Linked DNA regions of Saccharomyces cerevisiae S288C. The gene in region 4 interacts genetically with the main gene of each other region. Each region holds a gene or a part of one and is shown on either strand. Other genes may lie near its edges.

Evidence for each region.
Region 1: mutations in DCC1 (region 4) and GIM3 together harm fitness more than expected from each alone (negative genetic interaction), as found in Saccharomyces cerevisiae (8 studies listed by BioGRID, with this or other methods).
Region 2: mutations in DCC1 (region 4) and CLB2 together harm fitness more than expected from each alone (negative genetic interaction), as found in Saccharomyces cerevisiae (7 studies listed by BioGRID, with this or other methods).
Region 3: mutations in DCC1 (region 4) and SRS2 together harm fitness more than expected from each alone (negative genetic interaction), as found in Saccharomyces cerevisiae (9 studies listed by BioGRID, with this or other methods).

What each region holds. Positions count from the first base shown.
Region 1 is NC_001146.8:345,169-350,178, reverse strand, and holds GIM3 (tubulin-binding prefolding complex subunit GIM3), read left to right. Parts: upstream 1-4,120; coding exon 4,121-4,510; downstream 4,511-5,010. Other genes in the region: ALF1 (Alf1p), read left to right, coding at 1-272; PGA2 (Pga2p), read left to right, coding at 423-812; RPC31 (DNA-directed RNA polymerase III subunit C31), read left to right, coding at 1,658-2,413; INN1 (Inn1p), read right to left, coding at 2,637-3,866; serine/threonine protein kinase YCK2, read left to right, coding at 4,903-5,010. UniProt on the Saccharomyces cerevisiae protein: Binds specifically to cytosolic chaperonin (c-CPN) and transfers target proteins to it. Binds to nascent polypeptide chain and promotes folding in an environment in which there are many competing pathways for nonnative proteins.
Region 2 is NC_001148.4:768,446-774,350, reverse strand, and holds CLB2 (B-type cyclin CLB2), read right to left. Parts: upstream 2,699-5,905; coding exon 1,223-2,698; downstream 1-1,222. Other genes in the region: B-type cyclin CLB5, read left to right, coding at 1-476; S-methyl-5-thioribose-1-phosphate isomerase MRI1, read right to left, coding at 5,364-5,905. UniProt on the Saccharomyces cerevisiae protein: Essential for the control of the cell cycle at the G2/M (mitosis) transition. Interacts with the CDC2 protein kinase to form MPF. G2/M cyclins accumulate steadily during G2 and are abruptly destroyed at mitosis.
Region 3 is NC_001142.9:255,818-263,800, forward strand, and holds SRS2 (DNA helicase SRS2), read left to right. Parts: upstream 1-1,605; coding exon 1,606-5,130; downstream 5,131-7,983. Other genes in the region: TOK1 (Tok1p), read right to left, coding at 1-995; GWT1 (glucosaminyl-phosphotidylinositol O-acyltransferase), read right to left, coding at 5,263-6,735; protein kinase activating protein DPB11, read right to left, coding at 6,940-7,983. UniProt on the Saccharomyces cerevisiae protein: ATP-dependent DNA helicase involved in DNA repair at least for UV-induced lesions. The polarity of the helicase activity was determined to be 3' to 5'.
Region 4 is NC_001135.5:93,142-99,094, reverse strand, and holds DCC1 (Dcc1p), read left to right. Parts: upstream 1-3,331; coding exon 3,332-4,474; downstream 4,475-5,953. Other genes in the region: BUD3 (Bud3p), read right to left, coding at 1-2,814; NFS1 (cysteine desulfurase), read left to right, coding at 4,825-5,953. UniProt on the Saccharomyces cerevisiae protein: Component of the RFC-like complex CTF18-RFC which is required for efficient establishment of chromosome cohesion during S-phase and may load or unload POL30/PCNA.

The DNA.
Region 1 (5,010 bases), on a different chromosome or scaffold from region 4:
TCACAGTAGACGGGAGCGCTCCACGTGAGGCCATTTTACGGTACGTAGGACCACTACCGTTGGACGTGATGGGCACATGGTGCGGTGTGGAATTCCCGGAAGCCGCAGGCAAAAACGATGGGCGCATAAATGGGGTAACACTGTTTGGGCCTGTGGCGCCGGGTCACGGATCGTTTGTGCGTCCGCGGGCTGTGGAAATTCTATCAAAAGACGAAGAATCCGCCGAGGTGGAAGACGTCCATGATGACGTGGAGAGCGATGATGAAATTTGAATTTGTGCAGAATTAGCGCGGTGGCGGTTTAGTTAGTGATCTCCATCCGATGTCAACATATTATTATTTGTAGTTGTATTTATGTGCACTCGGCGGTTTGTATGAGGAAAAGATGTTATGAAGAGAAAAACTGCCGAGTAATTGAAAGAGATGTCTGAAGTAGCGGAAACATGGGTGGATACCTGGATGGCAAAACTAGTCAACTATGACTACAAGCACTTTATAAGATTGGTGATAATTGTAGGTGGTTATTTACTCTTAAGAAATATCGCATCCAGGGAATTGGCGAAGAAGCAGTTGGCTGCCCAAGTGGAAAAGGACAAACGAGACAAAGAGGAAAAGAGATCAAAAGACCTGATCGACAAGCCAGATGATGCTGCAACAGCAGAAACAACTTCTTTCGGTTGGGGTAAGAAAACTAGAAGAAGAGTTAAAAGACAACAGGAGTTGTTTGAAAACGCTTTGGAAGAGGCTAAGAGAAGAAACCAAGGGTTGGACCCAGATAGTGATGCTGATATTGAGGAACTACTGGAAGAATAGGCTCTCTGTGTATGTATGGGTTCCTCTTTGTCATTGTGACATTGTTTTGTTTTTAGTTTTTCTATAGTTTTCTGATAAAATAGTCTAACCATTACCGATGTTGCTACTTGCATCATTCTCAACGTCTAATCAACTTGCGTTTGCGTCTCAAATTGAGTTTGTAGGTTACGTGTCGCCTTAATAGTCAGCAAATGCCGACGTTTGTGAGACGGATAACGACTGCGATGATTCCCATTCCGCATGAATGATGCAATTCACAATTCAAACACGATATCAAACGACTAAGCCGTGAATTAACGGCTAGAATGCAAAAGAAAATGGGTAAGAATTGATTTATGTAGATACGGCAAGACGATACTTTCCTTAAACAGCCGAGAAACGAAAAGGTTTAAAGAGATGTACTGTGACGTAGAAGAGAAAGGATTACGCAGCAATGGCTTGTCCAAATTTCGTAGTCTAGCCAATTGAAAATATAAATTATTTTCAATACTAATGGGCGGCTTTCGAACAAATGTCACATTGCAGAGGTGATCGTTCAAAGTAATTAGCAGTCATGAACGAGATCTTCTTTTCTCTTATGAAGAAAAAGGCTGATGGTCGACAAGAAAAATCTCAATACAATGGCTACCATTCCACAAAGAAGTGCCTCGCTAGGTGTAACTCAATGAACTGAAATTGCTTTCGTCAGTGGTTTCAACTCTTGTGCGGCCGCATGAAAAATGAAGAGAAATTTGAAAAAATCTCAAAGAAGAAAATAGTTTCCTCATCGCAGCAACCTATAGAAAACAACACGACAGAAAGATATTGTAACTTGATAGTACCGAGCATATATACCCCGAACAAACATGAGTTCTTATAGGGGCGGCAGTAGAGGTGGCGGGAGCAACTATATGAGCAATCTACCCTTCGGATTAGGTTATGGAGATGTAGGCAAAAATCATATTACGGAATTTCCATCCATCCCATTGCCCATCAATGGTCCTATAACAAATAAGGAAAGATCTTTAGCAGTAAAGTACATCAATTTTGGAAAGACTGTTAAAGATGGCCCATTTTATACCGGATCAATGAGCTTGATAATAGATCAACAGGAAAACAGCAAGAGCGGTAAACGCAAACCCAACATAATCCTAGACGAAGACGATACTAATGATGGCATTGAAAGATATTCCGATAAATATTTGAAAAAAAGGAAAATAGGTATTTCTATTGATGATCATCCGTATAATTTGAACCTCTTTCCCAATGAATTGTACAATGTAATGGGGATCAACAAGAAAAAATTATTGGCAATCTCCAAGTTTAATAATGCCGATGATGTTTTTACTGGTACAGGTTTACAAGATGAAAACATCGGACTATCCATGCTGGCAAAGTTAAAGGAGTTGGCAGAAGATGTGGATGATGCGTCGACGGGTGATGGGGCAGCAAAAGGAAGTAAAACAGGCGAAGGAGAAGATGATGATTTGGCGGATGATGATTTCGAAGAAGATGAAGACGAAGAAGATGATGATGATTATAATGCTGAAAAGTATTTCAACAATGGTGACGATGATGATTACGGTGATGAAGAGGATCCAAATGAAGAGGCCGCCTTTTAGTTGAAAATTTATACCGCTTTACCATATTTTTGGATATTCTTCAAAGCAGAATTTGTACAATTAGCATTTTTCTTTATGGTTTAGATCGGCGGTGAGGGCGCAACAGATTTATGTATACATATTGAAATAATAAAATTTAAAAAAGAAAAAATCTTGGTAAACATTAAAAATCTTAATTCTATTTAAATATTAGTATTACAATAACAGCATGTTTCTCTTGTCATTAGCTGAGCCTTGGAGGTGGTCTTTTTCTTGTAGGAGACATCGAATTCTTCCTCGAATTAAAATTGGAATTCGAAGTAGTCGGTAGAGGTGGTAGTTTTGGAGAATTCAGGCCTGATGGATGAGGATGTGAGTTAGGCGAAGAGGAATCTAGGCGTGAGGGTCTATCTCTTCTTACTAACGGCGTATTGCGCGAACTTGAATAATTGGACATATCATCTCTGGTCGGTATAGGAGGTAAGGGCGGTTGGTTATAGTTGTGGGAGACTCTATGGCTGGAAGAATAAAATGCGTCATTTTCGTCGTCATCGTCATCATCTTCGTCGTAAGACAACGAAGTTACACCAATAGCCTTTTGAAGTGCCTCAATATCTACCTTGTTAGATTCATTTTGGCAGTTGTTTGTTGAACTATCAGGATTCTTAAATATATTTATCTTCTCCTTTAATTTCCTTAAATTGGCAAAATGGAATTTTGTATTCGAAGTGTTTGATATAGCAGTATCATTAGTTTCTAATGTAGACGTTGTACCCATGGATGCTGAAAAAGTTGGAGGTAAAATTATTGGGTCATTACTATTTGCCAATACCGCTGTATCTGATTTAGATGACATGGAGAAAACATTGCCATTTCTGTAGGGCTGTCCCTCATCCTTATCCTCGTGACTTGTGCTAACACACTGGGGAGTAATCTGTCTCATCGTAGAACCATGAACATAGTCATACTCTGATTCTGTTGGCAATGGTGGTATCGGCCTCATAGCCATAGATGAATCCAACCTGTCCATTTCTTTGTTAAGATCGTCCCTGTTTAAACGAGGTACTTTGGGAGTGAAAGTCAACTCAATGAATATAGTGCCAGCAAATTCATCCCCACTTCTTTTCAGTTCGTACCAGGTACAATAACCCTCCTTCGGGTCTGCTCTAATAGCATTTAAAAGGTCTATTTCACATCTTCCAATTGGCAGCGGAGATTTTTTCCTTCTATCGCAGTAAACTTCGACGTACATTAAAGGCTTTATCTCTGGAGTAATATCAAATTTTTCTAAATAATGGAAAACAGGGTTTTGACCTGCTCGATGTAGAGTGTTGCTGGCTCTTGTCATATGAGCTATTCGCAACCTAAGCATTACATTTTGCTTGTCCAGTTTATTCAAATTAGGCAAGTCTCTAGCTTTGCTCACATATACGGAGAGGATTCCTTGGTTTCCATTCCATACTTCTTCGGACATTCGACAGTGACTCAACGAGTTAACCCAATTCCAGTTGTGAAACCTAAGGTCTCCGAATTCTCTCGTACTATTAACATACCTTTCTATGTTTTTATCTAAATCATATGAGGAACGCTAGGCCGTCATTCATGATCAGCAGAGGCGGCTTTTCATACAATTTTACAGGAAGCTAAGTACTTAGAGGACTTATGCTCTGTTTGGTCCTGCGGAAACTACCAGAATACACAACGCCAAGAAACTAACAGAGGACCATTATGGAACTGTTACCACAGGGACAAAGGAACAACACTCAGGTAACGTTCGAAGATCAGCAAAAGATCAACGAGTTTTCGAAGTTGATTATGCGTAAGGACGCCATTGCGCAGGAATTGAGTTTACAGAGGGAGGAGAAGGAGTACCTCGATGATGTGTCTCTAGAAATTGAATTGATTGACGAAGATGAGCCCGTGCAATACAAGGTGGGCGACCTCTTTATCTTCATGAAACAGAGCAAAGTTACCGCACAGCTCGAAAAAGACGCAGAACGTCTCGACAACAAAATAGAGACTTTAGAGGACAAGCAAAGAGACATTGATTCCCGTCTTGATGCTCTGAAGGCGATCCTGTATGCTAAATTTGGTGATAATATCAACCTTGAACGTTAGAACACTCATTAAAGTGTGGGCTGTGGGTGTCTCCACAAAATGAGTAATGAAAAATTTTTAATTTTTTCAGGAGGGAAATTAAAGAAAAGTAAAGAACATGATAATAAAAAGCAAGTTTAAGTTATTGTGTATGAGATAGAGTTTTTTTTGTATACCTTTGTAATCCGCATATATTCCTAAGTACCTTTTTTTTCAGACAGAAAAAAAGAGTTTCTTTACGGAAATTACTTCTTTCGTTTGATATTGTTTTTCTCTTTCGAGATTTAAGAACGTGGTTGTGTTTCGTGTTTCTGTGCAGATCATATTAGAAAGTTTTTTTCTCCATTTTGATAGACAAAACTTGTTGTTTCTACTGAACACAGCATATAAGCCAAGAAAATAGTTTTCCAAAAATGTCTCAAGTGCAAAGTCCTTTGACAGCAACGAACTCTGGTTTAGCTGTCAATAATAACACAATGAACTCACAAATGCCTAACCGTAGCAATGTTAGATTGGTCAAT
Region 2 (5,905 bases), on a different chromosome or scaffold from region 4:
TAAAAAATGCGGAAATGTTCATGCTCACTTCCTTAGAATTCAACATTGGTTGGCCCAACCCACTCAATTTCCTAAGGAGGATCTCCAAGGCAGATGATTACGATCCGGTTAATAGAAATATTGGTAAGTTTATTTTAGAGTATGCCTACTGCTGCCACCAATTCATTCATTTACCTCCATCTACCGTAAGCGCAATGGCAATGTATATAGCGAGAAGAATGACCAACAGAAACAAGAACGAGCTATGGAATGGAACACTACAGCATTACAGTGGTGGTATCGATCCAATACACGATGAAGCGTTTCAGTCTCTCTGCATTGATCTAGTCAAAGACATCGCTAGTTCCAAAACTCATTTAGATTCATTGATTTTGAAGTACAAGAAACCAAGGTATGGCTCTGTTTATTTCCAAACTTTCAAGTGGTGTACATCCGAAATGCATAGCAACTTTCAAAATCTATTTAATCTTAAGTAGATTAGTACTAGTAATGCTCATGAATTCGCATACTCTTTACATTTTCTTTTCTTTTTGCTGAACTAAAAGGAAAAAATTTTTTGCATCTATCTATCTATCTATATATATGTATATATAGTTTATAGTGATATGCGTGTTCACTTCAACATATATAATACCACCAGTATTACTACTATTATCATCATTAATATTAGAATTTTTTTTGTTTTTAAATTTATTCTTTTATTTTTATTATTATTATTATCATTATTACTATTAAAAAATTATTATTATTAATGTTATTCCAATGTTAATTATAATAACTATACTGAAATAATTTTAAAAGAAATGAAAAATGAGAAGAAAGCAGCATTTTTTAAGAGACTAAGGTTATGATATTTCCCATAATATCAACATCCGATACTGATGCTTTTCTTTGTCTACCCTCGCTACATGCATCCGGAAACGGTTGAACTGAAATAGAATAAAACTTATGGTACAAATCTGAAATTAAAATTAAAAAATTAAAATTAATGGTGTGGTGTTATTAGTGAGAATAAAAATGGAGTTTTATTTTGGAAATCTTAGGCTTCGAATGATTTTTTATCGTCAGTTTAAAAATAACAGAATGAAAGGCGCTAAAATTGGGTGTGAAATTTGTAAGAATAAATGGAAATGTGAAAAGAAATGATTAAAAAGCAGCCATACATTTTATATGGACATTTATCGATTATCGTTTTAGATATTTTAAGCATCTGCCCCTCTTCTCATTCATGCAAGGTCATTATATCATAGCCGTTTTTTCTAACCTTTAAAGCCCATTGGACGGAAATTATAGAAGCTTTCATAAATCTTCTAGATTGATATTTTCTATGAAATTCATCATGAACAATTGGACTCACTAGATAATCCATTATCATGTGACACACGGGCGCAAGTTCTTCTTTAGTATACCCGCCGCTATAGTGTATTAGATTTCCATCCCATTTACCTTTACCTAACATTTTTCTCGACATAAACATCGCAGCTGCTGCACACAATGAGGGTAGTATCCCAATAAATCTGAAATCTACCAATGATATCTCTAATAAGAATTTGGCAAGAGTTCGAGACTGTATATCGTAGTCATCTGCTTTCGAAATTCTTCTCAGAAAATTCATCGGATTGGGATAATTTAGGTTAAATTTCAATGTCTTTAAAATGAATTTCTCCCCTTCTTTGATTTCATCTTCCGTACATGCACCGTCTGTCTCTGATGCGAAATGTTTTATACTAGGAGAATAGACCTCTTCATATTTAGAGGCAATGAAAAGGCATGATGTGCCAACCAATTGTAACTTATCCAGTTGAACTAGCTCTTTACCTAAAAACCTGTCCATTATGTTAATGGCAAGATACAAAGTCTCCGGTAATAAGCCGAATTTATTATGGATTTTAACCAACCAATTAACTAGGATATCTCGATTTTGATGAATATTTCTATGCTGATAGAGATCTTCCTTCTTTGGAAGAGTAATGACCTCTAGTTGGTGGAGATATTCGAATATATCATTGACGTACTCGCTGACCATGAATGGATCATTTACATCTTCTGCATCTAGGTCTTCCCATTCATATTCTTCTTTGCCATTTTCATCGCACACTTTAAACTTTTTGGGCAGTTCTTGTTCAACAATTGTAGAAATTGGTCTTTTTTTTCCACTATCAGTTTCACTTTCGGTATTTCTAACTTGAAGTTGACTTCTAGCTGGATGAAGTTTTTCGTTTTCTACCGAGTTATGGACTACCTCAGTGCTTGATCCAACGCCTTTTAGGGGATCATGCTGGATTATCTCCTTCGCTGAGGAGGATTCTTGTAAACTTATATTTGCAGGCAGCTCAGCTCTCCCCTCCTTTATAGAAGTTAGCGCACCAAATTGCTGACTACTTGGGTCTTGGTTTTCTTTATCATCTAAAAGATTGTTTTTGGGGAGTTGGATACCATTTTCTTTCAGGGTTCTTTTCTCCTCTTGTGCGGCTGTTGATCTTGATACGCTTTCTCTAGTAAATTGAGGAATCCGACTTCCCTCCTTCTTTACTGAGTTTAGTGTAGATTTGAAATTTGTTAGGGCTGGATTATTCGCATTACTCTTTTGAAATGTCGTATTTGTTACATTGTTTAAGGCCAACCTTTGTACATTCCTCAAAAACCTTGATGAACTAGTATTCTGTGAGTTTTCTGTGTTTTCTATTGGGTTGGACATCTATAAGATCAATGAAGAGAGAGAGGGGGTAATCAATAAAAGGCTTCTTGGAAGGAAATAGCAAGTTATAAAAAAACTTCTGACAAACGAGCGAATGAAGTTTTTATACAATGATTAAAATTTCTCCAATGTCGTTAAAAGAATCTAAAAGGACAAAAATACAAAAGGAAAACAGATGCTCAATCAAAGAACCGCTTCAACAGATATTCTATGTCAATTTATTGAATAGCTCGCAGTAGGTTTTTATTATACACTGGCTCAATCAAAAAGAAAGAAAAAAAGAAAGAATAAATAACCAGTATCCTTTAGCTATATTTCTTTCGCTTTTCAGAAGTATCAATTCGAGAATACTTTACTTCTTGAGGTATAGGACAAAATTAATACCAGAAAGATTCAATTTTAGTAAATTTTTGGATCTTTTCAAAAGTCTAGCTAAATTGGCAAAAAATTAACCTAAAAAAAATCTATTTTATTATATTTTGATTTTTTTTCCTTTCTAAATTTTTGAGAAAGGATCTATTTCTCTTTTCCCCAAAGAGGTTATATTTTCCATTAAGAGCAAAATTTCTGAAACTCTATGCCCATGCTATGAGATGCTAGCTGTAACGAGTTTGCTATTTCCTCGAGGGACAGGCACCGAAGTTCATCCATATCGCGAACTTCGTTGTTGACCTTTTCCTGATTCGGTCGCTATATTTACAAATCTCCTTTTTTGATTAGTGCCTTGAACTTGCACTTTCCTAAACGGGCTCAATATGTAAACATATTATACAAATAGTTACCCGCATTTGGAATAAAATCTGTCTTTTGGCGGCTATTTCCGCGTGTTTGATTAGAAGGAGTAGTGGTCATTCTAATAATTCCACTGTGCTAATGCACTCGCACTTAATTTTTAAACTTCCGATGCATCAACACTAATGATCATAGCATAAAACGCGTAGAAGGCGATCTTAAGTTTGAGTCCCCCTAAGGCACCTTAGTAGACGGTCAAGAACAGGGTGTGAATATGGGCGATATTCAAGCGAGATTAGGACTTATAAAACAACAACAACAGGGATAACAAAACACTTGACCCCTATTTTTGTAATAAAACCGTTTTCAAGGTAAGGCAGTTAGTAATTTATGTACAACAGAAATTTCTGCCATTTCTTTCACGACAATAACGTAGGATAAGGCCATGAAAAACAAAAATACTAAAGTGCTTATCTAATAAAAGGAAAGGATTAAGCAGTTCCTGCCCATATTTTGGAAAGGCCGTAGCTTAGTTTCCCTGAAATTTACTTCAAGAAAGGTCTGCTTAGCAGTCACATATGTCAATTGTGGGCTGTTTAGTCAAAACCACTTGGAGGTTGATGAATTGATAGTATTTTGGTAAATGAACTAAATATACATTATCAATAAGACGTTGGAGGGGCTTTCTGTATAAATTCACCGAACACTCCCAAATTATGATAAACTTGCTTAAGCATCTTTTCGAAATGCAGTGCATGTGTTAAGTGACAAGCTAAAGGTAAGACATTACGATAATACTCTGTATAGATCGTAGTAACATGAATTATGAAGCATATAAAAATAATATGAAATGTTCATCGAATTTAATAAGTATAAATGCATGAAGATAATAATTCAATAAGATAGATAAACAAAAACGCATGAAGAGAACTTGTAGAACAATAAGCATATATCACCACTCCACTTTTTCTGAAAATTGTGTAGAAATGTAAATTCTGTGATGTTCGTTATGATTCAGTTTCTGTTTCTCAATCTCTATGTCATACTCTTACGCTATATGATAACACACTAGTAGTAGGAAAACTGGTCAAGAGATGATTGTTGTTTCTTTTCCCAACTCATACACCCCAAACAAATGCCTTTATCAAAATCCGATCTCAACACTTATCTTAGTTTACACATTTATCAAATAAGGTTGGCAATGTACCTTTTTCGGAAGGTAAACATCAAATATTTATAGAAATATTTATTAAGGACGCTCTGTTGTATTACGGGCTCGAGTAATACCGGAGTGTCTTGACAATCCTAATATAAACAGTCTTAGGGAAGTAACCAGTTGTTAAAACAGTTTATCAGATTAATTCACGGAATGTTACTTATCTTATATACTATATAAAATATGAATCATACTAAGTGGTGGAAACGCGGAATCTCGGATCTAAACTAATTGTTCAGGCATTTATACTTTTGGGTAGTTCAGCTAGGGAAGGACGGGTTTTGTCTCATGTTGTTCGTTTTGTTATAAGGTTGTTTCATATGTGTTTTATGAACGTTCAGGATGACGTATTGTCATACTGACATATCTCATTTTGAGATACAACACGCTCCGAAGAACTCATCCTTGTTAGCTCAGTTGGTAGAGCGTTCGGCTTTTAAGCGCATTTGCTTAAGCAAGGATACCGAAATGTCAGGGGTTCGAGCCCCCTATGAGGAGTTCTTTACTTTTTTGCACGTTTTACAAATATGCAGAAACAAAGACAATACATATTGTATCAGTTGGTTATAGTGTTTTGGACTTACAAGGTTCTGACAATATACATTAATGTGTTCCTTTTATTGAATGAAAAAAAAAAATAATTCTTACATCTCAATATGAAATTTTATCCTTTACAGTACAAAAGTAATTATTTCGAGAGTCTAATTAGAATGATATCTAGAAAAGGCTTTCCAGTTGAAATTCACCACTGGAATTTTTGGTAAATACACCTTCTTCTGTGATAATTCCGTCAATAAGCTCATGTGGAGTAATGTCGAAGGCTGGATTCCAGACATTGATTTCAAGAGGGGCAATACCGACCTTTCCAGTGATTGGCTCTCCTGACTCATTCAATATCAAGGAACCATTTTCAGGATTAATTACTGTACCAGTAACAACCTTGAATTCCTCAGGGTTACGTTCTTCCACAATAATGTCATCGCCAGTTTCGGTTACATTATCGATAGTTGTTTTGGGAGCTACTACAAAAAACTTAATTCCGAACTGCTTACAAATTACAGCAAGTTGTAAAGTACCAATTTTATTTGCTGTATCCCCATTACGAACAATTCTATCAGCTCCAACAAATGCTGCTTTGATTGGAATTGGACTAGTTCTAATTCTATACGCGATGGAACTATCAGTAATTAAAGTTGATGGAATCTTATCATAAACTAGCTCGTATGCTGTTAGCCTTGACCCTTGATTATAAGGTCTAG
Region 3 (7,983 bases), on a different chromosome or scaffold from region 4:
GGGCCAGAGGACTTTTGAATGATGGATCTTGTCATAAACACTATTAAACCCATCAAGACAACACCAGATAGCGAAAAGATTAAAACCATGATTTTGGCGCCAACCGACTTGGGCAGGATGTCACCTAGTCCCACGGTTAATAATGATACCGTGCAGAAATATAATGCATTTCCGTAAGTGATGTGCAATAAACCGCTAAACATACCCGCACCCCAAATCAACCATAAAGACAATAGTACAGTGTATGCCATGATACTTCTTTCATTGGGCAAAAGGTTGAACGTTGGAGGATATTTTCCTAATTTATATCCAATAAAATGTATTGTTAAAATAATGGTGCATACCAAATATAGACCAGAACTGATACAGGCAAACCAAAATCCGATAGTCTTACTGTAGATGCTGGGCATGTCATTCAAGGAGCATACAATCACGTCCACCAAAAGCATCCCTCCAGCTATTGTCCATCCTGTTATATTTATTAACTGAGATTTAAGATACGTCAACTTCTTACTGAAATGTAGCATTAGTATAATATTTGACGTAAAACCCAGTACCAAAGAGATGATATTAACGGCAAAAATACCAGGAGGATCAAAAACTGTCTTTACTTGATTCATCAAAACATCGGTGTCATTGCTTCGTGGATTTGTCACCACGGAGTTGTTCTTTAAGGATCTCCATTTTTCAACTACACAGGCTATCGAGATAGTGTTAGCTACGGGACCCAAGCAGGCAGTAATCACAGGGAAATAGCATGAAACCACAAACCAAAAGACGAACAGTGTTGAAGAAGGCTCTGCATTAATAATACTAACTCTTTCGTCCCGGAACCGCAATGCATCCTTTAGTTCCTCTGCAAGAACACCCTTAGCTTGCTTCGGTGTGTTGTTTGAATGAGAATCAACAGCCTGAGCTGAGCTCTCTTGCTCCACTGTCGCCATATTGCCATATCCCAGCGTTTGTTTGGCAAAGCTGTTCATGAACCTTGTCATATATATAGAAATCGGTAAAATAAATACAAGAAATATGCTTTGTTATACTGCTAGAAAGGAGTGAAGACATCTGCTCACGATCTACGAGATGCGGCTATTTTTGATGGAAAAAGATACATAGGGTCAGGCATTTTTGCCATATTGAATAACCAAGATGGTACTGAGTACTCAGGTAATGTATATTACATTGAGTACTTCACTTGTATACACAACCACTGCTTCGTATTGTATATCAAGTATCTAACTGTTGATAAACTACAACTTTCTCTTCAACCATAATGATAGCGCCGCTTAAAACATGCTAGGGTAACGAGACGCGAATGCGAAAAACTCCCAAAAAAACCAAAACAAACAAAAGTGACAACAATTAGAACGATGCTGAAGAAGAATAGGAGCGAGTTTAGAGTTACCTCCAGCTATCCTGATACTACTGCTTAGGCTACCTTCGCAGAGTCTCGATAAATTTGCAGTCGGCAAGATAAGAATATTTCTCTACAGCTTTTAGACAGCTTCCTGTCCCTCTAGTTTCTTTTGCCATCCATAATTGTACTCTGCACTTTGAGTATCATTCCAATTTGATCTTTCTTCTACCGGTACTTAGGGATAGCAAATGTCGTCGAACAATGATCTTTGGTTGCATTTAGTATCCCAGTTAAATACTCAACAGAGAGCAGCGGCCCTCTTTGATTACACTAGAGGGCTGCAGGTCATTGCCGGTCCCGGCACAGGGAAGACTAAGGTTTTAACTTCAAGAGTAGCGTATCTTATTCTGCACCACCATATTCATCCCCGCGATATTATAGTGACTACTTTCACTAACAAAGCTGCTAACGAAATGAAAGAGCGTTTGCAAGAAATGTTACGCGGGGCAGGCGTGAATATTTCGGAGCTCTTAATTGGTACTTTTCATAGTATTTGCCTGAAAATACTTTATAGATTTGGCCACTTGGTGGATCTACAGAAAGACTGGAGAATTATTGATGAGAAGGAAATAGATGTCATTTTAGATGATATGATCGAAAAAGTTCCCGACCAAATAAGGGATTATGCTTCCTCAATCACAAGGAAAGTAAATCTTTGTATGCCGAGTAAAAATGGAGATGAATGGACTATTCATCCGAAGCTGATCAAGAAACAGATATCAAAGCTAAAATCAAACGCAATATTACCTGAGGAATACATCTTAGATTCGAATCATGACGCCGCGCTTGGTTACTTTTACCAAATATACCAATCAGAGCTAAGCAAGAAAAATACGTTAGATTTTGATGACTTATTAATGTACACCTTTCGTTTGCTGACTAGAGTGCGTGTTTTATCCAACATAAAGCATGTTTTAGTTGACGAATTTCAAGATACTAACGGCATTCAATTGGACTTGATGTTTCTTTTTGCTAAGGGAAATCATCATCTTTCGAGGGGGATGACCATCGTAGGTGATCCTGATCAAAGCATATATGCTTTCAGAAACGCCTTAGCGCACAACTTTCTAGAAATGGGCAGAAAATGTCCCATCGAGTACTCAACTATCATACTTGTTGAAAATTATCGTTCATCACAAAAAATTCTAAATACAAGCGAAATTTTAATAACGCAACAAAACAAAGGTCGGCAGAATAGGGCTCCACTCCGTGCCCAATTTGACCTGGATTTTCCACCAGTTTACATGAATTTCCCCGCTTACTTTTTGGAAGCACCTTCTTTAGTTCGGGAACTACTATATTTGAAGGCATTGCCAAACCTATTCACATTTAATGACTTTGCTATCCTAGTAAGACAACGAAGACAAATTAAAAGGATCGAAAGTGCATTAATAGAACATCGGATACCCTATAAAATTATTAGGGGCCACAGTTTCTGGGATTCCAAGGAAACAAGAGCGATGTTAAATTTATTAAAATTGATATTTTCTCCGAATGACAAACATGCAATTCTTGCTTCACTTTTATATCCAGCAAGGGGCCTTGGTCCTGCTACCGGTGAGAAGATTAAGAACGCATTGGACACGTTAGCTACCGATGTGTCATGTTTCCAAATATTGAAAGACATAAGTAGTAAAAAAATAATGCTAGACATACCGACGAAAGGCCGTTCTGTGATTGCTGACTTCATTTCAATGATAGAAAATTGTCAATTGTTGCTCCAGAGCACTTTACTAGGGGGTCTTTCAGATTTATTTGATAAGCTATATGAATTATCAGGTCTGAAATACGAATACTTGTACAAGGATGGTAAGAAAAAAAATGATCAGCTTGAAAAATCCGAACCTAATTTATTAAACGCAAGACATAAGAATATTGAACTTTTGAAAAACTATTTCCTGGCTCTTCTTTCCAAGTCAGAATCTTCAGATAAAGAAAAAAATGAAGCCATTAAAGCAGCAACAGATGAAGCCGAACCAATAGAGAACAAGGTCATCACTCCAAAAGAATACCTCCGTAATTTCTTCAATTCACTTTCCCTTCATTCTGATGCAGCTGAGGAGGAAGAGTCGGAATCCAATAAAGATGCAAAAATAAAACGTGAGAAGAATGGGTTTGTCACGATATCTACAATTCACGGTGCCAAAGGTCTTGAGTGGCCGGTAGTTTTTATTCCTGGATGCGAAGAAGGTATAATTCCTTGTGTGTTCAACGATGATAAGAAAGACGAATCAGAGGAGGACGAAGAAGAAGATCAAGAAAATAGTAAGAAAGATGCAAGCCCAAAAAAGACTAGAGTTTTATCCGTGGAAGATTCTATAGATGAGGAAAGAAGAATGTTTTTTGTTGCACAGACTCGTGCAAAATACCTGTTGTACCTATCAAATACTGTAACTGTGGAAGATGTCGATAGACCAAGAATTGCAAGCCGATTTTTGACTACTGACTTGATAAAAGCCATGTCCGATAGCCAAAAATTATTTGAAAGTACGAATAGTATCAAAAAACTATACCGAATTTTGAACAAAAAGCCGCCTGCTGAAGATGATAAACTATTCTCCCTTGACCAATTGCGCAAAGACTATAACCAATTCATTGAAAATAGGAGAGAAAGGATGATTTGGCAAGGGATACAAATGAATGATGTCTATGGAATACAGTTGTCTAGAAATAAATTATTGGGTTCTGTTAGTGATTTCACGTCAGCTGCGGACCAGTTACGACTCGAAACGCAAAACTCTATATTCCCACAGAAGAAACTTATTGAAAAATCACGCCCATCCAAAATCAATGGCAATTACGCTCCTAAAAGTAGAGTTAAAAGTCCAGAAAAAAGGTACGCTCCAGAAACTACATCATTCCATTCTCCTACAAAGAAAAAGGTGTATGCACCTCAATACGTTTCAACAACTAATGTACCTAGTAGGCAGGAGTTTCATTCTTCTACTGGGAAAAATATTCCTTTTCTGAGAAGAGAAGATAGGTCCATCACAGACATATCACCACGATCATCAACGAGGTCGTTAAAAGGAGCATCTCCAAATAAGACGAGCCACATGTCAGATGATTTAATGAGACCATCACCTACGAGGAAGGACAAAGTTACTCGTAATATTCATTTCGCAACTGCAGGAACTTTCAGAATAGAAACCCAGTCAAATGTTGATGAACTGCATCCTCCGGAATACTCCAATAAATCAGGGCAGTCGCTTACGTCGAGTGAATTTTCTGGGTTTTCTAGCGCGTGCAGTAATTCTGATCAGCCAACGAACTTAATAGAAGATATAAACAACGAATTAGATCTATCCGATGAGGAGTTATTAAATGACATATCAATAGAAAGGAGGAGAGAGCTTTTGGGCTCGAAAAAGACGAAAAAAATAAAACCAAAAACTCGAAATAGAAAGTCTAAGAGAGGTGACAAGGTTAAGGTGGAGGAAGTGATAGATTTGAAGAGTGAATTTGAGGAAGATGACAGCAGAAATACAACAGCTGCTGAGTTATTACATAATCCGGATGACACTACAGTTGACAATCGTCCAATAATCTCCAATGCTAAGTTTTTGGCTGACGCAGCAATGAAAAAGACACAGAAATTTTCCAAAAAGGTGAAGAATGAACCTGCATCAAGTCAAATGGATATATTTTCTCAGCTGTCACGTGCGAAAAAAAAGTCAAAATTAAACAACGGTGAAATCATAGTCATCGATTAGTAGCACTTTCATGCCTGACTACGTCAACTATTGGAGGCGGTTTATAATTTTTATTTAAAGCACATAGGAGTTAATTTTATTTTACTGGTAGGGTTTGTATACGAACTACATGGAAATGTGGATGGTGTGTTATTATAGCTTAATGAATATTCTTTTTCTATACAAGAAAACCGATATGACAGCTATGAATGAGCAGTATGCCAACAAAACCAGGAATGATTTTAAGGGTGAAGAATCTATCGTGACCATAGACATATTGACTAAACCAGTAGAGACATTTGCCAACAAAAATAAAAACAACCCATTGGAGTTGATTGATTCCAAGCATTCGGCAACTTTATAATATTCCGAAGAATTACCGAAAATTTTGTCAGTCAAGCAGTACCCAGTCAAAAATAGTAAATTATAAGTAATGACCCACAAAGTATATGGTAAGTTAGCAAACCTTCTTGAAACACTATAAGGATGGTATTGAAAAACCAACTGGCTGATAACAAGAAAAATTGTACTCCATATACAGAGGCCACTTAATGGGGTTACTGAAGTCCAATAGTCCCAAGTCGAAGACTTCTTTGATGCTGCAACTACGTCTTGCGTAGAAGGCTTATAAAGATTGTTTAAAGTTGGTTTATTTCCCAACAAGTAAAATCCCGTGTTTTGGCCCCAAAGAAAAATCGAGCAATAACCTAGAAATGAGAAGATGCCTTCTCTATTAGCACTGAAGAAACAATTTCTATCAGCCAAAATTAAAAAGTTTAAAGTGCGATCGTCCTTTAAAAGTAGCCATTCATAAATGCATGAAATGAATATTGCAATTGAGCAGCGTGGAACCATTCTTGTGACGGGATCAATAAAGGTCAATACAAGTGGCAACAATGATAGGGTGATAAAAAAATTCCAATGAACCCCATATTCTGTGACATGTTCTTGATATTCCAAATTTTTTACAAAAAACAACCTCAGCAATCCTAGGAACAATAGAGTTCCTCCTGATTTTAAGGCATTAAATGCATTTTTTAAGAAGCTGGGTTTACTCTTCAAGCTTAGGTTTTTCAACAGTGCCCTAGAAGAAACAATACCGTTACTGAAAACGAATGATCCTACACCAAGATCCATCAGGGATGTCCCCCAAGTTTCCACCTTGGCAAACCTCCTTGGGAAAATTGGAAAATCTACAGCCAAGATGGCAATAGCAGTCAGAATAAGCATCCCACCACGATACGCAGTAATATACGGCTTTTTTTCTAGTTGGAACCGCTGTGTAATCATTTTTTTTTTATTGTATATTGGATTAGAAGGTTTACTCGAGCTAGTAAATTTTCCATATATGAATGCGAGCAAACAAGGTAACAGTATTAGCGTGTTTAGAAGGTATGGTTCACTAGCATAAATAGTAATAGATAGAAGCAAAGCAACCCAGTTCAATGCAAAATCAATTATGTATTGCACGCTGGAAATGCCAGGAGGCATAAGGTTGGAATTTTTCAATAAGTTCCATGATATGTAAGTTACCAAAGCAATTGATGTCACTGCGTTAATTTCTGTTATAGAACCGCCATTGAGCCCTGTCACAAAGTCCTCTTTTCTCTGTTTTAAAGTCGACATATTCTTCTGATGTACTGTTGCCATTTATTTAGATATTTACGTGTCTTCTTATTGCGATCCTCTTTTTCTCATGCTGTTTTTTCACGCGAGCATGTCATGGAAAGTATTATCATACAAAACGGTAATACATATAGATGAGTAGATTTGAATAATGCTGTAGATGGCGTATGTAAATGAATATCTTATAAAATTACGGACTACATTTCAAGAATCTAATTCCTTTGTCTGATTTCTTGTCTGTCGTCTCATAGGTTTTTCTAAAGAGGCAGTACGTTTCTTATCTTGAATGGAGCCATAGGTAACTTGAGTATGTGAAACTTCCTCAGTTCTTGGGATCTCTTCTGGATTAGAAATTGCAGTCGGCTGCTCTGTAGGCACATTTTCTGACATTATTGTGCCCCAACTCGTGGTTCGTTTAATTTGTTTAGGAACGAAATTTTTTGGCAGTGACTCCAACTTGATCCTTTTCGTATCCGGCATTTGTCTCTCTGAAGAAACATCCATGATACTCGATGAGACACTACGCTTTTTTCTTCCAGAATCAGTTTCTCTAATTTTCTGCAATAATTCGTTTTTGGTATCTTTCATAGAGTGCTCCGATAATGAGGAATTGTTTCTTTTCAAAAGAATAGTTTTGTCGATTTTTGGATCATTGTTTTGGTACTTTTTTTCTGAACTAATGCTGGTATAGTATGGTTTTTTTATCTTACATTTAAAATCGTCCTTGTGTCCTCTTGGGCAGATAATACACCACTTGATATTGTTTAAAAAGATTTCATTATTTTCTCCAGATGCAGCGGACAATAATTTAAAAATAAATGCTGGAGTAACTACCGGTATGGAGTGGAATTTCTTGATATATTCAATTTTCCTTTTCATCGAATTTCTCAAGATTGAATTATTTTGAAAATCTTTTCTGTTATTATCACCAGGATCATCATTATTGTTATTAATGCAAAACTGAGTAAAAAGATCGCTAAATTCATTCGACCATAACGGATGGGTTTTCGGGATACTGGGTAAAGCTGCTAAGTTGATTAGCAGAATGTCAGTGGATTTATTGAGGTATTCTACATAATTGATGCCCATTGGTTTTAGAAGATTTAATACTTTAGTCAGATGTAACAGCTCTACGCCAGAGAATCCAGTGATAGTAACATTCAGAAAAGGGGAAGAAGAAAATTCATGATGCAATAACTTTGAAGAAGACGAAACTTGAAACTCTATTGTGCTGAGGAAGGGTTTTGA
Region 4 (5,953 bases):
TCCGATCAAGTCATCAGATTTGAATTCAACTGCTCGAAGAGAAGATTTAGCAGTTTGTGATTCTTTTGTGGAAAAAGAAGTACTTTTCTTTTTAATTTTGGGAGATGAAACGACTGCCCTTTTAGGGGAGGATTTCTTTTCTGAGGTCATTGGCTTCTTCACTGGAGACTTAGGATGCCTCTGCGATATTTTTTTAGGCACTCTTTGAACTGGTGAAGGCTTGCTCTTGCTTTTACTTCCAAAAACATTTTTTAACACGCCAAAAAACCCTTTGCCTTTGTTAGGCTTCTTCTTTTCTATGTGCTCTGCTTTAGAGGCGTTTGTCTTGGTCTTCTTTTGAATTTCTCTTGGTTTTTTTGAAGACTTTTTCGTAGGTTTCACTGGTAAAATTTCCTTAGTTTCCTTGGTGACATTACTATTATCGCCTGATGGACTGTCCTTCAAGTCGCTTGTATAGCTTCTAAATGTTGTTATGGTACCGTATGATCTTTTCTTCTCGTGAGTAGCATCGAAATCGGATGCACCGGAAAGTTTGCTATTAACAGCCCTATGTTCGTCTGTTGAAGGGTGCTTGACCTCTTCCAATTGATGTTCTAAGTTTTTTATCAAATTCTCATTTACACAGAGTAAATCTTTGGCCATCGATGAGTTTAAGGAAGAAAAGCATATCGGTATTTCAATGGCCAATTGATTAATTATGGTGAAAACAATGTTATCGGATGTAACTTCTATATGTTTATCGTCATGTTTGGTTAAGACGTCTAAGATTACGATGTTATCTCTACCATCGTTACTGCAAAATCTTGCAAAAAAAGCCAAATGAAGGTTGTTGACCTCCAATATCTCCTTGGATGGTGGTATGTTCAGGAATAAGGCAAATTTTGATTTTATTTTTTCGGAATCATAAGCGCAAAGCTCGTGAGCAGTAGAATATAATGTAAAATGGCTTCTACTAGCTTTAAATAAATGAAATGCAGTGTCTTTTTCCAAAATTCTAGCCTTCGTAATCAAGTCAGCAACTGACGAAGAAGAGATAAATGCAGAGGATAATTTACATACCATTGAGAAAGAATCTTTTCCCTTCAATCGATCAAAACGTAGAGTGCTTTTGTCTAATATAGAAACTAGAACCTCATCTATATAGCAATGACGCTCCACTTTCAACTTAGGGATCTTGGAGGGCAACGGAACTTCGTTGATCAATGAGTTCATTAAAATATCTGAGATTAAGGGCCTGTTTGATCCATCTGAAGTGTAGTAACTTTCTGCCTCCAGTATATTGATGAAAACCACATAATCACTGAATATGACTAATAAATTTCTCTTATTTTCATCATTCAAATCCACTACATCATACACACCGACTACCCTTCTCTTCAGCCATTTGTATTGCAGTTCTACGGGCCAGCATTTGGCTAATTCTGTAAGGATTTTTCCCGATGGAGTAAATACTCTGGTACTATAAGAATGAAGTGGGGAATCTAATTTTCCAAACGAATCAATGACATCAATGATATTGTTGTAGCATTTTTTTGCCATTTCTTGATTTTTCGGTCTCCATTTTTTCGACTTCCACAATCTCTCTATAATTAACTTTAGCTTCAGTAGTTTTTCCTGAGGTCCCTTAATTATACTCTCGATTTTCATTTCCGTGTAGACCTCTCTTTCTGGAATTACATTGCTGAAATGCCTAATAAACAATTTAATATCTTTGCTGAAGTTCTTTGTGGCCGCCTCGTGTCTTGTATATGCTTTGTAGAAATAAGGAATAGTAATGCTGCATGCCTTCAGTACTTCGAGGGAACCGTAAGGGATTGCTGTCTTTAGCGAGTCTAGAAAAATACAATTGATTCTTGTGACTTCATCTATTGTAGGTGGGAAGAGTCGATTTAATTTGGTTGTGGATAACCCATTAATTTCTTCATTGAGTACTCTGACTCTCAAGGCGATCAGGAATTTTTGCAAAAATTCTACCAAATTGAAAGTAAAATTTGTTTGTAGTTGTAATAACTCGTTGCAAATGGCCTTGACAAGATCATCATCCGATTCTGTGGGTAATTCGTCCTCTGGCGCCTTATAACCATATTCTGTCTGTTCCGGTGAGTATTCTGTGACTGGGTTAAAAAGTTGTTCAAGTTGTTCACCCAGATGGAATACCAACCTATTATTTAGTTCGATGGTGGATTCATTGTTTTCATAAATAACATCTAACAGGGTAGAGCTGACAAATCTATTTTGCAGAAGTCCTGATGTAAAGAAGCGCTTCCCCAGATCTTCTGGAGGAACTGCTGTTATCAACTGGCAACTACTAGCCAAATCTCCAGCATAAGGGGGGTCATAGTCGCAATTTTCCGATTTATTGGACAATATTTGTGATAAGTCTGATGGTGAAAGTAATGGATAGCGCTGTAACAGAATGACAGCAATGCATTTCTTAACATTGCTTTCCTGATCACTTGGACTCAAATTCTCAATGGCCGGATAGTATTGCGAGTTGGAAGATATATCGACGGATTCGAAGCATGATGTTCCTAATTTGTCGAATATTATAGCGTTCAACTTATTGCTGTTGGGGGACTTGTACACGCAGACAAAGAACTTCCCCCATATCAAGTCATCTGACCCGTGATAGAATACTGATTGAGTGAACACATTATCCGTCCAGTCTGAAAGTGATTTATCATCATCAAACAATGAATGACCATTTAGCGGTGTGGTCTCGACAACAGATTTGGATAGTTTGATGTTAAATAAGGTTTCATCGTTCTCTTTGTCTTTCTTTTCAGAGTAAAGAGACGACAGGTCTTTCTCCATTGGTGAGGTGTAAATATACTCTTTTAGCAACCAGATAACAGCCCGAACACGTAATGAGTAGCAGGTAGCAGCAGTAGAATGCGAGTACAGACAAACTAGTGTTGTTTTTACTATCCGCAGTGAGAGAAATCTTCCTCATTGAAGATCAAAGCCTTTGTTTACCATTGTTTTTATTTACCTTTTTAGAATTGTTCGAACAAAACCCTAGGTCTTGGCAACTGGCAATCGCTCAACATGACCTAATTTATAGCTTAGGGTTCTTTTTTGTCAATTCTATGCGTATGACAAAGAGCACCACGATGGTGATCGAAATCTCTAGGAGTAGCATACCACAGCGATATTATTTAGTAGTAGGCGGTTTATTATCTTTGTCCCTTTATACTGTTGTGTTTCTTGCTTATTGCTTCAGTAGGCAGCGTATAGTATAACCAGAAAAAAGTGAAAAATAAACTAAAAAAGCACTATGAGATGAACGGTAAAAATCCACCAGAGATTTGCTCACTAATAATCCTGTACCATGTCCATCAACCTACATTCCGCACCCGAGTATGATCCATCTTATAAGCTGATCCAGTTGACACCAGAGTTACTGGATATAATACAGGATCCGGTTCAAAATCACCAGTTAAGGTTTAAGTCATTGGACAAAGACAAGTCTGAAGTTGTACTGTGTTCGCACGACAAGACTTGGGTGCTGAAGCAGCGCAAACATTCAAACACAGTTCTACTAATGAGAGAATTTGTTCCTGAACAACCTATTACTTTCGACGAAACGCTCTTGTTTGGACTGTCCAAGCCGTACATGGACGTCGTGGGATTCGCCAAGACTGAATCAGAATTTGAGACCAGAGAGACACATGGCGAATTGAACTTGAATTCAGTACCAATATACAACGGAGAACTGGATTTCTCCGACAAAATCATGAAGAGGTCATCTACAAAGGTTATCGGGACCCTGGAAGAACTACTTGAGAACTCACCATGTTCTGCGCTAGAAGGTATATCAAAATGGCATAAGATTGGTGGATCTGTGAAAGACGGTGTGTTGTGTATTCTTTCACAAGACTTCCTTTTCAAAGCACTGCATGTACTACTGATGAGCGCAATGGCAGAATCACTCGATCTACAGCATCTGAATGTTGAGGATACACATCACGCTGTGGGGAAGGACATTGAGGACGAGTTCAATCCATACACAAGAGAAATCATTGAAACAGTGCTGAATAAATTTGCTGTTCAAGAGCAAGAGGCTGAAAACAATACGTGGCGCTTGAGAATACCGTTTATAGCTCAGTGGTACGGGATTCAAGCGCTAAGGAAATATGTTTCTGGAATAAGCATGCCAATTGATGAGTTCCTCATCAAGTGGAAGTCCCTTTTCCCACCTTTCTTCCCATGTGACATTGACATTGACATGCTGCGAGGCTATCATTTCAAGCCTACCGATAAGACTGTCCAGTATATAGCGAAAAGCACACTACCAATGGACCCCAAAGAACGGTTTAAAGTCCTGTTTAGGCTACAGTCACAGTGGGACTTGGAGGATATCAAGCCTCTAATTGAAGAACTAAATTCAAGAGGTATGAAAATAGACAGTTTCATCATGAAGTATGCCCGCCGTAAAAGACTGGGCAAAAAGACCGTGGTCACGAGCAGGTAGCACACAAAACTGCCTTCGATGGGCAATGCGAATATATAGCGGAACCACTAAAGTAATAGTGGATGACGTGAATAGCAACAAATATCTATCATAGTAGCTTTATATATTTATATATATTACAATACTATTATGCACCCTATTACCCGCAATAGTTGATAGTGACCTACCAATTTTAGATACGGTCGCTGACAAATAGTAAGGCCATCGCCCAGGGATATATGATGACTATCTAAGTAACTCACTCAGAGTAAAGACCGACAGAGTTCATTAGTGTGTTATATTTTCTATTTCAGATACATCATTTTCATTAAAATATATCGCATACACGAAGGAACTGCTACAACTGGAAGATGTTGAAATCAACTGCTACAAGATCGATAACAAGATTATCTCAAGTTTACAACGTTCCAGCGGCCACATATAGGGCTTGTTTGGTAAGCAGGAGATTCTATTCCCCTCCTGCAGCAGGCGTGAAGTTAGACGACAACTTCTCTCTGGAAACGCATACCGATATTCAGGCTGCTGCAAAGGCACAGGCTAGTGCCCGTGCGAGTGCATCCGGTACCACCCCAGATGCTGTAGTAGCTTCTGGTAGCACTGCAATGAGCCATGCTTATCAAGAAAACACAGGTTTTGGTACTCGTCCCATATATCTTGACATGCAAGCCACTACACCAACAGACCCTAGGGTTTTGGATACGATGTTGAAGTTTTATACGGGACTTTATGGTAATCCTCATTCCAACACTCACTCTTACGGTTGGGAAACAAATACTGCTGTGGAAAATGCTAGAGCTCACGTAGCAAAGATGATCAATGCCGACCCCAAGGAAATAATATTCACTTCGGGAGCGACCGAATCTAATAATATGGTTCTTAAGGGTGTCCCAAGATTTTATAAGAAGACTAAGAAACACATCATCACCACTAGAACGGAACACAAGTGTGTCTTGGAAGCCGCACGGGCCATGATGAAGGAGGGATTTGAAGTCACTTTCCTAAATGTGGACGATCAAGGTCTTATCGATTTGAAGGAATTGGAAGATGCCATTAGACCAGATACCTGTCTCGTCTCTGTGATGGCTGTCAATAATGAAATCGGTGTCATTCAACCTATTAAAGAAATTGGTGCAATTTGTAGAAAGAATAAGATCTACTTTCATACTGACGCCGCACAAGCCTATGGTAAGATTCACATTGATGTCAATGAAATGAACATTGATTTACTATCAATTTCTTCTCACAAGATTTACGGTCCAAAGGGAATAGGTGCCATCTATGTAAGAAGGAGACCAAGAGTTAGATTAGAACCTTTACTATCCGGTGGTGGCCAAGAGAGAGGATTGAGATCTGGTACTTTGGCCCCCCCATTGGTAGCGGGATTTGGTGAAGCTGCGAGATTGATGAAGAAAGAATTTGACAACGACCAAGCTCACATCAAAAGACTATCCGATAAATTAGTCAAAGGTCTATTATCCG